2 linked regions of the Oryctolagus cuniculus genome follow. The protein of the gene in region 2 interacts with the protein of the main gene of each other region in a biochemical or structural test. Links are inferred from orthologs where the notes say so. Each region holds a gene or a part of one and is shown on either strand. Other genes may lie near its edges.

Evidence for each region.
Region 1: the proteins of ITGB2 (region 2) and ICAM1 form a complex in vitro, tested with the Homo sapiens proteins (4 studies listed by BioGRID). The link is inferred for Oryctolagus cuniculus from reciprocal best matches to the Homo sapiens genes ITGB2 and ICAM1.

The regions. Positions count from the first base shown.
Region 1 is NC_091447.1:67,091,022-67,098,487, forward strand, and holds the start of ICAM1 (intercellular adhesion molecule 1), read right to left. Parts: upstream 4,065-7,466; 5' UTR 3,974-4,064; coding exon 3,907-3,973; intron 2,484-3,906; coding exon 2,226-2,483; intron 1-2,225. UniProt on the Homo sapiens protein: ICAM proteins are ligands for the leukocyte adhesion protein LFA-1 (integrin alpha-L/beta-2).
Region 2 is NC_091435.1:1,710,392-1,717,081, reverse strand, and holds the end of ITGB2 (integrin beta-2), read right to left. Parts: intron 6,136-6,690; coding exon 5,948-6,135; intron 4,611-5,947; coding exon 4,366-4,610; intron 3,974-4,365; coding exon 3,754-3,973; intron 3,482-3,753; coding exon 3,270-3,481; intron 1,605-3,269; coding exon 1,438-1,604; intron 1,206-1,437; coding exon 1,143-1,205; 3' UTR 805-1,142; downstream 1-804.

The DNA.
Region 1 (7,466 bases), on a different chromosome or scaffold from region 2:
TAAAGGTCAAGAGAGACCTCAGGGGCCAGGCTCTGGTCTCCAGCCACCTCCTCCTGCAGCCTGCTGCATCTGAAGCTTCCTCCCCCAACCCCGAAACCTCAGCCCCACCTACCCCCCAAGGAGCCCAGCCATCCTCGGCCAGGCCCGGCCCGGCTCCGGGAGCAAGTCTGCCCTGCCCGGACCTCCCCTTGACCTCGAACTTGAACTTCAGGGCCTCTCCACCTCAGCCTGCCTCATTCTTCAAATATTTGTCTGGCCTTTCCCTCTTGGGCACTGCCAGGGCCCAGACCACGGGGAGAACAGGCAAAGCCCACGGCCAGGCTGCCCCTGTTTCCTGTTTGAGTCCAGCCCTCTGCTCACTCACCCCCCACGGCTCCCCAACACCCCGCTGACAAGAGGCGTCCAGACTACCCTCACCTGCCGCCTCATTAACCGATCGGTCAGCAACTTCTCCTGCCTGACATCGGGACGCTCCCCGTTCCACACTTCTGTCTAGGCGCTTCCTGTTTCAACAAACTCCTACACATCCCTCAAAGCCCACCGCCTAGGAATTCCATGTCTAACCTTTGTGGAGAAGGGATGTCACCCACACCGGTGGGGGGTGGGGTGGGGAGAAGGCCAGGCTCGAGTCTCCCCTCCCCTTGAAATGGAGTGTTCCATTTCACAGATGTGGAAGCTAAGGCAGCACAGCACCCGAAGGCCCAGCAAGGCAGATGGATCTCAAGAGCCAGGCAGGAAGGCACCAGGTCCCTCGCACAGTTTCGGGGGGGGGGGTTTCCGGGGCTACTGGGAATGTCTAGGGCTTTCCCTATCCCGGGGGCGGGGCCACACTTGCTCAGTCAGCAGAGATAAGGCCGCCGAGGGCCCAGGGCGTTCAGGCTGTGGCTGTGCCAGGAGCAGTCTGTGCTCACGGGCTGCAACCCCAAGGTCGCCCACCAAGGTCCCTGGCCTATAAGAGCCACGCTGGGGCTGGGGCCCGAGATAAGCAATTCCAAAGCCATTCCCTGGGGCCGGCGCGGCATCCCATACTGGTGCCAGTTCGAGTCCCAGCTGCTCCACTTCCGGTCCAAGCTCCCTGCTGGTGGTCTGGGAAAGCAGTGGAGGATGGCCCAAGTGCTTGGGCCCCTGCACCCACATGGGAGACCCGGATGGAGCTCCGGATCGGCCCAGCTCCGGCCGCTGTGGCCATCTGGACAGTGAGCCAGCAGATGGAAGACCTCTCTCTGTCTCCCCCACCCCCCTCTCTCCAACTGTGCCTTTCAGAGAAATAATTTCTTTTTTTTTTTTAAATCCGCTTCTCTGTTTTTCTTCCTTGTTTTGATTCGCTTTGACTCACACGCGCACACACACACACATTGTGCGTGTGCATTCTTGCTTTGGTGACCCATTCTCCCAGCTCAGAATCCCTGAGGGCACGCAGACACACAAAGAAAACAACCCCTCCCAACCAGCGCCAGCACCCTCTCCAAGAGCCGCTCTGCCCAAGGCCAACGGTGCTCCTGGGGGGTGCACAGCACACAGGCTCCACCCCGCCAGCGGGGGGGGGGGGGCGGGGGCCAGGCCCTTTCAATCTCACAGCGCACCCCCGGGGTGCCTTCCTTCGTGTCCAAGGAGCCACCTCTTTCTTTTACACGGCTGCATACTATTCCACTGCACGCCCAAACCACTTCTTGCCTTCGCAGGCCTCTGCGTTCCTCTGCCCTTCGAGCACAGCTCTGGCAAATGCCCCCGGGCCCCTGGCAGGCCCCCTGCCGGGGCTGGTGCCCAGGACTGCCACCCAATTCCCCGCCGCCAGGCCGTGCAGCCCCGCCCGCACAATCCTCCTACGGCGGCCACTGTGCCAAAACCGGGCCTCGTCTGGGTGCTCATTGGCAGGGAGCCGGCACTGGAAGCGGAGTTGGGATTGAACCCAGGCGCCCAGCGCGAGTTCCAAGCAGGGTTTAACCCGCCCCAGTCTGTGTATTTTGCTTTATTTATTTATTGGAAAGGCAGAGCGACAGAAAGAGAAAGAGACAGACAGACAGGTCTTCCCTCTGCTGGTTCGCTCCCTAAATGCCCACAACAGCCGGCACCGGGCCAGGCTGAAGCCAGGAGCTCCCTCCGGGTCTCCCACGCAGGCGACGGGGACCCAAGCCCTTGGGCCACCGCCCGCTGCCTTCCCAGGCACATTAGCAGGGGCCGTCCCATGCGCCCCGGGGGAGCCCCTCCCCGGCCCGGCCACTCACCGTACACCGTGAGCCTGGCAGAGGCCATGGACTGGCTCTCACAGTCGGAAAAGCAGATGAGGGTACTGTCTTCCTGCACGTCACTCAGCTCGAACACCTTCCAGTTGTCCCCGTGGGCCACTTCCTCCTTGCTCAGCTGCGTCTCCAGGCCGAGCTTCGACGGCTCGGCGCAGGCGGCGCTGCAGTTGACCCGCGTGGAGCCGCCACGGGGCAGCGTGACTTCCGAGGGGAACACCGACGTCTGCGCGTCCCCGGGGCCTGGGGCGGGGCGGGGCGGAGGAGCGCGCATGACCAACCCCGCGTGGGCGCGCACGTGCACGCGTACGCGCCGCCGGGCACAAGCCAGGGCTCCCTGTGGGAGCCCCAGGAGGGCTCATGAGCAAACAACAGATAACTAGGAACCGATGTTCCGAAATCAGAGCTTGGAGAACAAACAGAGACCGTGTGGGCCCCCCGAGAAAAGGGAAAGCGATTTCAGGCCGCAGGAACCGGCAGGTGCAGGTGCAGGGCGGTCGGGGGCCCAGTGAACCATGGCGACAATGGTGGGGGGCTCCAGAGGCCTCCGCGCTGAAGTCGTGTCCTTCCACCCAGGGCGGCTGGAGGCAGAGGCTGACTTTAAGGCCAGTTGCCTCTCCCCCCCCACCACCACCACCAGGAGGCCAGCTCCCCCCAGTCAGGCTCCTCACCCCTCGGGACAAGTCGTTCCCCCTGTCCGGGCCTCGATTTTCCCATCTGTAATGCGGGTGCATTGGAGTCACCCCACCCAAGCCAGGCCAGCAGCGTAGCCAGTGGCTACCTCGAAGGGTAAGTAGCAAAGGGCCGTTTTCCAAGCCACTCCTTAAACTGTGCCCCCAAAACAGAAAAAATAAAAATCCCATGGAAGCCGCCCCTTCCCACCCACCCCCCCCAGGGGCCCAAAGATTCCTGTTCTGCTTTGCTTTATCTGGGCTGGATGGGACGGGATGGGGGGCGGGGGTGGGGTGGGGGAGGCTGGGAGAATCGCAGCGGCAAAGGATCTCCCAGAGAGGGAAGCGGACTCGCTCCCATTGCTCGGAGGGCAAGGTAGAGGCCCGGAGAGAGGAGAGGTTCCCGAGCTACACACGGGTGCCAGGGAGCTCTCCGGCTCCCGCTTCCCGCTGTGGGGGGCGGGGTCACCCTGCAGCCCCTGGGCCGGTCCCCCCCCCACGCTGGGGCCGGGGTTTCCAGGGGGCGGGGGGCGCGCGCTGCGGCGTCCCACTGCTCAGCTCCTGACCCCGAGAGAAGCGCGCCCTGGAATTCCCCCGAGCCTTGGACTTCCCCAGGGGGTTAGAAGAGGAGGAACAGAATGTGTCTTGGGCAGGGGGGGGAGAGGGGTCCCCAAGATTAATGAGTTTGGCGCGGGGCCAAACTCGCCTTCCAGCGCGTGACCAGGCTGTCCCGGGGCCAGGGGCCAGGCGCCGGGCGGAGCGGGGCGGGGCGGCCACGCGAATCCCGCAAGGGCAGCGGCGCCACGACCCTCCCCCACTCCCGAGAAACTGAGTCAGGGAGGCGCCAGCCCGGTGGCCCCCGCGGGATGTGGCTTCGAGCCCACGGCTGCCGACTCCGCAGCGGCCCCGCTCGGGAGACCGAGGGGGCGGAGGATGGTCTCGATCCTTCCACACCTGCGCCCAGGGCGCGCGGCCGTGTGCGACCCGGGACTCACCTGGCAGCAGAGCCGCGAGCAGGGCCAGGAGCGCGGGCAGCGCGCGCCGGACGCGGTCGGGAGCCATAGCGGGCAGGACGCGGGCGGAGCAGCGCGGAGCCGGGGCGCAGGGTGCGCACTGGGGCGGCGCGCGGCGCGCGGGTCCTCTTATAGCCGCCGGCCACGGGGGGCCTGGGGGGGGGGGCGGTGCTTTCCCGGAAACCTTGAGCCTTCCCCTCCGGAACAAGGGCTCAGGCATTTCCGGGCTGAGACGGTGCCCGGCCCGAGAAGGGGGGTCCTCCCTCGCTGGCGGCTCCCGCGCCGGAGTTTCCAAACTGAAGCAAGGAGGGCGCGGCGGCGGCGACCCCGGGGCGGCGGGGCGGCGGGGCTGCGGACCGCCCCGCCGGTCCCCTCCCCATCCCGGGCCGGGCTAACCTGGATTCCCTGTTTGCACTGCGTTAGGCGCTTTAGTGACTCCTACCGGCTTCCCTGGGGGGATTGTGCCCATTTCACAGAGGGGGTAAACTGACTCCCCAGCGCGCACAGCGCTCCTTAACCGAGCAGACCGCCCCCCTTGCTAGGGTGGGCTTGCTGGGAGTCCAGGACTCCTCCCGGGGCGCACCCGCGGGCCCCGGAACCTCAGGGTGCGCGCGTGAACCTCGGGTGCTTCCACCCCCGCGGCCTCGCTTCCCCTTTTGGCCTGGGCCGCGGGGGCGGCTCTCGCAGCTCCCAGAATCAGGAAGGAAGCCTTGTGGTCCTGACGCCGCCAGCGCCCCCGCTGCTTTCTCAGGCTCCGCGGGGTAAACTGAGGCAGCGGGGAGCAGGGGAGCCGGGGAGCCGGGGCGCGTGCGCTGAGCAGGCGCGGCTGGAGCCAGCATCCAGGCTGGAGACCCCAAGGACCCGGGCACTGGCCTGGCCGCCTTAAGCTTCCTGTTGTTGGACGCGCTTGGGGTCGCCATGGAGACCTGCAAGGGGCCAGGGAGGTCGCGCAAAAGGGGAAGGGAGGGGTCCCTCCCCGCGCCCCGGCTGTTTCTAAGGAATTTCCACGGGGATCTTTGTTTTCTTGGGGAAGGGGGTGGCTCGGGGGTCTTGAATCCCCGCCCCGGGGCGGCCTGGGCAGAATCAGAGAGTGGGACCGAGGGCGTGTGTGTGCCTTTGAGGGTCTGGGAAAATCCAACCGGATTTTTCTGGGGCGCGCACGGCCCCCTTGCCAACAGGTGCGCGGGCGGCGCGCGCCCCCTAGCGGCGCAGAGTCCGCCTGCAGCGCGCTCGGGTGGTTTAGCCGTCTCAGCTTGTGGTGTGGGGGTTTATTAAGCACCTACTATGCGTCAGGTGTTTGTTGCTACCGGGGGGGGGGGCAGGGCCTGGGGAGGGAATATGAAATGTTAGGGTTGCAGATAAGAGCAAGAGCACCCATCTGTTGGTTCATTCTCCAAAATTCTCCCAAAGGGAATGACTGCCCCCAGGCCAACGCCAGGAGCCAGGAGCTCCATCCGGGTCTCCTACACGGGTGCAGGGGCCCAAGCACTTGGGCCATCTTCTGCTGCTTTCCCAGGTGTGTTAGCAGGGAGCTGGATCGGAAGTGGAGCAGCTGGGACTTGAACCAGCGCCCACATGGGATGCGGTTTAACCCGCTACACCCCAACTGCCAGCCCCAGCTGATCAGCTTGAAGCAGAGTATTTTGGGAAAGACCTAGGAGGTGACATTTGAACAAAGCCCAGGAAGGCACCAGGGGACAAGGGGGACATGCAAAGGGCCTCAGGTCATCACCGCGGGAGGACTTTGCTCTTACGCGTAGTGACTGGTGGGGCGGTGGCTGCTCTGGCCCAGGGGAGCCAGGCTGGGGCTGGGGCGTGAGGGGCACAGGTGGGGTCACGGTGGGCAGGGGGCCCAGGGGCTCGCGCCTCCTGGTCCTGGGCCCCCTCGGCGCCGGTTCCCTGCAAAGAGAAGCAGCCGTTGCCAGCGCTTTGTCGCCATTTGCGGGAAGGGCACGGCTTCCTGCTGGCTGCCAGGCGGGCTCAGGCCGGCCAGGGAGCGTGCCTGGGGCCAACAGGGGCTTTGGACACAGAGCTGGGGCGGCCGAGGCCTGGCCCCAGCGTGGGCATCGCCGCTCCCGCTCTGAGCGCCTGTGGGGCCGCCCTGCAGTTCCCTTAGCCCTGATGTCCCTCCCGGCATCCCCAGCGTGGCCGACTCCTCCCTACCTTCTCGTGGCCTGAAAGTTTTCCCGAGTGTTCTGGGCTCTGTCCCCGGCTCTGCCTGGGGCCGCACCCTCTTCCTCGCTCTCAGTCTCTCTCTCTCTCTCTTTTTTTAAGATGTATTTATTTATTTGCAAGTCACTCCCCAAATGACTGCAACAGCCAGCACTGGGTCAGGCTGAAGCCAGGAGCCAGGAGCTCCCCCTGGGTCCCCTCCACGGGTAGCACCTGGGCCACGTGCATGGCCCGGAAGCTGAATTCCAAGTGGAGCAGCCGGGACTCGAACTAGCGCTCTGTCCGACACAGACGCTGATGTTCCAAGTGGTGGCTTAACGGGCTGTGCCGTAACACTGGCCCCGAGGCAGGATTTCTTAGGAGAGAAAACACCCGTGAGCAGGGTCCCTGTGGCTGCTCCCTGATGGCCTGCGCCTCTAGCTCAGGCCAGGCTGGGAGCCGGCTCCACCTTCCTCCCCCCACCCCCAGCACTAATGAGAGGCGCAGCTGATAGGCGGGTAACAGCTTAACCCAGCAAACCCAGGTCCGGGTTACAGCATCTCCTAGCCACACTCAACAACCGCCACCCCACCCCCTCCCGTTGGTTCACTCCCCAGATGGCTGCAACAGCCAGGGCTGGGTCAGGCAGGATCCAGGAACCTGGAGCTGCATCCGGGTCTCTGGCAGGGACTCAGGTGCTAGGGCCACCCCCCCCCGCCCCGCCTTCCCAGGCGCATCAGCAGGGGTTTCGGTCAGAAGTGGAGCATCTGGGACATGCACCTGTGCTGGCACTGCCAGCGGTGGACCCGTGCACCCCAGCCCCAGCCCCGGGGGTCCTTTTATTAAAAGCCAGCTCCAAGGGGGAGGGTGTTTGGTGCAGCATCCCACACCAGAGAGCCGGTTCAATACTCCGACTCCTCCCATAGAGCTCCCTGGGAGGTGGGTGGCAGGTGACTGATGGCTTTAGTGCTTGGGCCGCTGCCACCCACGTGGGAGACCCGGATGGAGCTCCTGGCTCCTGGCTGCGGCCTGGCCCAGCTCCGGCTGTTGTGTCCGAGGGAGTGACCCAGCGGGTGGGAGAATATCCTACAATCGGGGATAGGCACCCACACCCCGCGGACTCGGCAGCTTTGGCTGTGCAGGGAGTACAGACGCAATCCCCAGAGAGACATTCCAGAAATGTTTTCAGTGGCAGGGCGGCCCAGCTGAGAGGGCCCCCCCGCCCCCCGCCGGGCCGCCCACGCAGGGGGGCAGGGGGCGGAGCTGGCGCCGTTAAGTAAACCACCCGCGTTGTTTTCCCTTCTGGCAGGGGTCAGGTCAGCGTGGCGCGGACACACCAGCAGCCTGCACGCTGGCTCGGGCTTTATCTGCTCATTGATGGCACGGCCGTC
Region 2 (6,690 bases):
GTTCCCCGCTAATGGCCTGGAAAAGCAGTGGAAGATGGCCCAGTGTTTGGGCCCCTGCACGCGTGTGGGAGGCCCAGCCGAAGCTCCTGGGTCCAGGCCCCTGGCTCTGCACTACCCTGGCTGTTGCAGCCACTTGGGGAGTGAAGCAATGGGTGGAGACCTCTTTCCCTCTGCTCCCTTGCTCTTGCTCTCTCTGTAACTCTGACTTTCAAATAAATCAGTCTTTTCTTTTAAATGGCAAGTATCATCTGGAAATACGTTTGCATGCTTGGCTCCCTCGTGTCGAGGCAAGCAGACCTGAGCGACGCAGCACCTGCCTGCAGGGGACGTGGAAACGGGATACGCTGGTCACAGCAGCCCCTGCCCACTCTGAGGCCCAGGGCTGCTGTTCCCAGCAACGGGCACGTGGGCTGCTGGGCATCTCCATGCCTGGGTCCTCATCCTGAGAGACCACACACCACCTGGGCTCATCCACGCATCACCTGACCCCGGATCACCCAGGCCACCCGTGGGAAACAGAGCTTCCTTTAAAACTCTCCCCGGGTTCCGGCTTTGCCCACCACAGCTCTCTCCCAAGAGCAGGCCTGTACCTGACAGGTGGCAGAAGAGGGGCGAGGGTCGGCAGGCTCAGCAGCAGCCCCCGCTGCCGGGGCTTCCGCGTTCTTTCTGGAAAGCTGGCCAGCACGCATGCTTGGGCCGGCAGGTGGGGAAGGGGCGGGGGAGAGGCCAGCAGAGCGCTGCACCCTCAGAGCCCACCTCTGACATGGGGGCCACGGGGCTCAGCTCCCATGTACAGCCTGTGTGGAAGTTTTATTCATTTTTTATTACACACATAACTGATTCGAACATGTCCACCCTGAGAAGTGTAAGTATAAATAAATGCGCGCCACCTCGGGTTAGGCTGCACTGCTTGCCTTCACAAGGAAGACACGCATCCACACCATGACTGAGCGGTGCCGTTCTACGTTTCTCTCGAAGACTGTGGCCAGAAGGGGAGGCCACCCCCCGGCTCTGTGAAGGGGAAGGGGATGGTGGACTTGGGCTAAATGGTGACGTGAGCAGCGCCATGGCCTCAGCGTGCAGGAGCCGCGGTGCAGGGGTCCCAGCGGGTGCGTCCAATGTCCCGCGGGCACCAGGTGCTCCTAACTCTGGGTAAACTTCGGGTTCATGACCGTGGTGGTGGCACTCTTGAAAAGCGGGTTATCCTGGTGGGAAAAGCACACACGGACTTGTTGGGGGGGGAGGCTGAGGGGCAGAGCTTTGGAGGTGCTAGGTCGACGCGGACGCTGTTGCTTTGGGGAAGGAGCCGAGGTGGGGTGGCTTTCGTGGGTTCCGGCCTCAGCAGCAAAGCTAGTCCCCAGCAGCAGAGGCTGTGCCGGGGGCGGGGAGGGTGCGCACCACGCCTGCAGCCTCCTGCGCCCAGAGGTGCCCACTTACATTGTTCCACTGGGACTTGAGCTTCTCCTTCTCAAAGCGCCTGTACTCCCGGAGGTCACTCAGGTGGGTCAGTGCCTTCCAGATGACCAGCAGGAGGACGCCGATGAGCACAACGCCCGCCACGGTGCCCCCGACGATGGCGGCGATGTTGGGGCCCTGCACACACTCTGCGGAGGAAATGGCCACACAGAGCGTCAGCCCCCCCTTTCCTGCTGGCCCCAGGGTGTGCCCACAGGTGCGCCACAGGTGCACACGGAGGAGCCGAGTGGTGTGAGGACACCGTCCTGAACCGTAGCCGTGGAGCACGGAGGGAGCCAGCCCTGGCTCCCGCAGGACACAAGAACATCCCAGTGACGGGTGGAGGCCCTGGCAAACCCTTTGTTCAGGGGGGCGGAGGCCAAGCAAGCCAGAGCCTCCCAAAGGGCAGTCACCACTCATTCTCATTCACCTGACCCTGGCACGAATTTGCCTACGTGGTCCTGACAGGACAGCGTCCACCTGGCCCTGATAGGACGGCGTCCACCCGGCCCTGACAGGACAGCGTCCACCTGGCCCTGATAGGACGGCGTCCATCCAACCTCTGACAGGACAGTGTCCACCCGGCCCTGACAGGACAGCATCCACCCAGACCTGACAGGACAGTGTCCACCCGGCCCTGACAGGGCAGCGTCCACCCGGCCCTGACAGGACAGTGTCCACCCGGCCCTGACAGGACAGCGTCCATCCAACCTCTGACAGGACAGTGTCCACCCGGCCCTGACAGGACAGCGTCCATCCAACGTCTGACAGGACAGTGTCCACCCGGCCTCTGACAGGTCAGTGTCCACCCGGCCCTGACAGGACAGCGTCCACCCAGCCCTGACAGGACAGTGTCCACCCGGCCCTGACAGGACAGTGTCCACCCGGCCCTGACAGGACAGCGTCCACCCGGCCCTGACAGGACAGCGTCCATCCAACCTCTGACAGGACAGTGTCCACCCGGCCCTAACAGGACAGCGTCCACCCGGCCCTGACAGGACAGTGTCCACCCGGCCTCTGACAGGTCAGTGTCCACCCGGCCCTGACAGGACAGCGTCCACCCGGCCCTGACAGGACAGCGTCCATCCAACCTCTGACAGGACAGTGTCCACCCGGCCCTAACAGGACAGCGTCCACCCGGCCCTGACAGGACAGTGTCCACCCGGCCTCTGACAGGTCAGTGTCCACCCGGCCCTGACAGGACAGCGTCCACCCGGCTGCCTGCTGAGTTATACCAACAGAACTTGGATCTGTCACTGTTCTGTGGAAAACCCAGCGCTGGCCCCTGGTAGGCCCTGGCGTCTGCCAGGACTCCTGGGGCCCCGTGATGACTGTGGCCCCGCCCCCCGGCCTGGTGCTGTCATCCTCCTCTCCTGCCCTCAGGGACCCTCCCCTTGGCTCCTGCAGTCCGCACACGGGGCCCGAACACGAGTAGACAGGGCTGGGGTCACGAAGCCCGCAGCTGTTACTGGGAGCCGCACGGACAGGCGGCCACCCGCTCTGGGACGCAGCAGCGCCCACAGTCTGGGCCCCTGGATTTTCCCATTGTCCTGGGGGACAGCCTGGCAGCCGTGGCTCCAAGCCTTGGCCCCTCGATATCAGGTGGCAGCTGACCTGGGGTTGAGCCGTGTGGTGTCCCCCAGTGTGCCCGTCACAGGTCAGAGAACTGACGGGGGTGGGAGGAGTGGGACAGGTGGACTGGCCACCAGCGTCCACGCGTCGCCACTGAGAGACCCCTCCTCTGCAGCGCCCCCCCCCCCCCCGTGTGGGGAGGTCCGGGGCCGTGGCTCTCGTCACAGGCCCGCCGGCCTCACCTCGGCTGTCCTCCACGTGGACATCATAGTTGTCCATCCCTTGGCGCTGGCACAGGGTGAAGGCCATCCAGCAGCCCTCCGAGTCTTGCTCCTTGCACGTCTTGCACGTCTTGCCCCGCAGGGCCACGTCCACCAGCTGCAGGTTTTTGCACTGGGTGCTGCAGTTCTTCCCAAAGGGGCCCTTGTCGAATTTCAGGCACTCAATGCAGGAGCTGCGGAGGGGGAGGGGCTCAGGTGTGCACGTCAGATGGGGCCCACGCCAGCGCCTACCGAGAGCCAGGCTGGGGTGGAGGGCGGAGGGAATGGGACACCTGGCCAAAGGGGCCAGGAGAGGGCCCAAGCCTGAGGCCCCCAGAGAGACAGCCCCACAGTGCAGTCAAACCTGGGGCAGGGGTGGTCAGGCGCTACGGCCTGCTGAGAGCCCCCTGCCCACATACAGAGGTGGGGCCGCAGCTGAGCACTCCAGGGGTGGGGTGACACTCACATGTACTGGCCGCAGGGCGAGGTGCAGCCCAGGCACTCCTGGCACATGGGCGGCTGGTACCCCTTCTTGCACACACACACGTTGCAACGGCACTGTCCACGGCCGCTGCACTCCACGCCCTGCGCATCCAGGCAGCCGTCCGTGGACTTCTTGCACTGGCACGCCGAGCCCTCGAAGCCGTCGTTGCAATGGCACTGGCCGCAGGAGCAGGACCCCCTCTCTGGAGACAGCAGTGGCCACTGCTTTGACCCAGGGGCCTGGAGACGCTGCTGCCCTGCTGGCTGCTCCCTCTGCTGGGTCATCGCCCGGCCTCTTCCCACTGCCCCGCCTCTGTCTGTCCCCCCTCCTGCAGCAACTGTCCAGGTCCTCCTCGCCCCACCAGCAACTTCCTGGCTAGCCTGGACCTCCACAGGCCCCCCTGGATGATGGTTCCTCCCCAGGGCCCTGACGGTCACCCACTGAGGTCACCTCCCCCTCACAGACCCACCCTCTGGGCAGGGGAGGGCTCTCCTAACCACCCACGTGTCCATCTGTCTGCCCCCCGTGTCCCACGCTGTCTGCCCCCCCCCCCCCACTGGACAAGCAAGCGAGGCCTGAGTCCGGGCCACTCACTTTTGCCACCGCAGACCTGGCCGTCGTAGCGCTCACAGTTCATGTTGTCGCACTCGCAGTACCGCCCGAAGATCTGCTTGTTGGGGTTGTCGCTGGTGTGGCACACGCACTGCCCGCAGATGCAGTCCCCCAGCCCCGAGCAGACAATGGAGCTGTTGTCCTTCCGGCAGCTTCCCTCCAGCTCCTGGCTGCTCCTGCCCTGCGTCTGGCACTCACAGTTCTTCCCGGTGTAGCCGGCGTCGCACCTGGCGGGGAGGGAGGGACTCAGCGGTGGCCGAGACACCTGCTGTTCCACGCCGCGTCTGCCCTTCCTAAGTGCCAGGACGTCGTGGGCAGGAGCACGCGTGACCTTGGCCCGAGGCGCTCCTGCAGCCACGCTGTGGCCCCCTGCCCGCTGTCGCCTGCCCTGGGGCAGCACTGCAGCCGTGTCACAGCCCCCCCCCCCCCCCAGCCCTGACTGCGAGGCTGAGAGGATGTGGGGGCAGGGACGGCAGAGGCAGGCGGCCACTGAGGCAGGCCCAGGGCAGTCTCAGAGACACCACTGCTGCAGCGCTGCTGGGGGGAGGTGTGGGGACGGTGGAGGCCGGGTGAGGGTGAGGGACAGAGCAGCCCAATGGGGCAGAGACCGGGCGAGCAGTCAGAGGGGAGACAGCAGTCGTGCGACAGGGGGTTGGCCCACCAGCAGGGCCGGCGGCTGTGGCTCTGGCCCCTTCTGCAGGCCTGAGCGGGCGTGAGGGTGCCTGTGTAGCCTGGCAAGGTGCGGTGTGGGCCGAAGGAGAGGTCCTGGGGTGGGCCAGTCCTCCGGGCACGGAGCCGGGCAGGAGGACACTCCCAACCCCTGCACCGAGGATGGCACTCCGCCGCCCTGCTGTCTGCTCCTGGCCTCTCCAGGTGTGGCAGGTGAAGCTGTCCAAGGGGTGTGGGCTCAGCTTGGCCACCCTGGGGGCCCCAGGGGCTGAATGAGACAGGTGTAGCTGGACACGTGCCTCTCGGTCGTCACCGCTGCCGTGGGGATGTGTAGGAGCCCAGCAAACACCCACCCTGGGATGCCTGCAGGCGTGGCCCTGCTCAGGACCCGAGCGTGGAGAGGGAGGAAGAGTGGCCATGGCGACAGAGGGTGTGGCTTTTTGACCCTCAGGGGGTCAAGGCCAGGTGCTCAGCCCACCCATGTAAGCCTGGGCCCACTGTGCCCACCCCCTACCCCCCAAGTGGGGTGTCACGCCCCGTAGTGCCCCAGCACTCTGGCCTGCTACTCCTGGGTTCCCCAAGTCAGAGAGAATGGGTTGTGGGGGAGGGACACAGAGGCTGGATGGAGAAAGTGACCAGTGCAAGGCCACAGCCACCCCTGAGGTTCCTTGTGCCCTGCTATGGGTCCTGCCTATGGTGAAAGGGTGTCCCTGCCGGCCCTGCCTTGGGCCCCCGCGCCCAGAGAATGGGGAGCGTGGTCAGCATTGCCTGCCGATGGCCTGGCTCGGGGGTCAGAGGAGAGGGCGTGGGGGGTGCTGTGTGTGGAAGCCCAAGTTTTCCTTCTGCGGGTGGAGCCGCCGGGCGGGCTGCGTGCCGAGGGTCCTGCTCCCCTCACCTGCAGACGCCGCACTCCATGGAGCCCTTGCCCCCGCACAGGCCACGCTCCTGCCTCTGGTCCCGGCACCGGCACTCACACAGGGGGAGGACCCGCACCGTCACCGTGTCGGTGAAGCCCAGGGCCCGGATGACAAACGACTTCTCCTGGATGCACTCGGAGGCCGTGACCTTCACCTGGAAGGTGACCTGCAGGGGGAGGGGCAGGGCTCAGGCCGGGCATGGGGGGGTGGGGGTGTCCTGACCCTGTTCCCGCCCCCGGCCAAGCTGGGCCCTGGGGGCACAAGCTTGCCCAGGGTGGGGGCGGAAGTGGATCCTGCAGGGAGGAGCAGGGTGAGAGGGCGGGGGCGAGCTGGAGCCAGGCTCTGTGCTGGCAGACACAGCAAGGCCAGCACCAAGGACCTCCGGTGCCTGACTGGGGACGGTGTCTTTGGAACACTCGCCATCACACAGGCAGGGAGAGGCATCTGGAGCCACCGTGTGGGGACAACTTGTCCACAGAGCTCGTCCCTAAGCCCAGCGGGTGAAGACGCTGGACAGGGAGTTAGATTCCGACCCCAAGCGCAGGGGTGAATCGCAGCCTGAGAGCACCGGGGCCCCACCCCCAGGCGGCAGTGCCGGCCCCTCGGCCCCGGGGGTGGCACAGAGAGCAGAAGCAGCCAGAGCAAGTCCGAGAAGTTCTGGGCAGAAACTCGTTTGCGACCCGCGAGTAACACTGTGAGTGTTACTTCACAGCGACAGAGA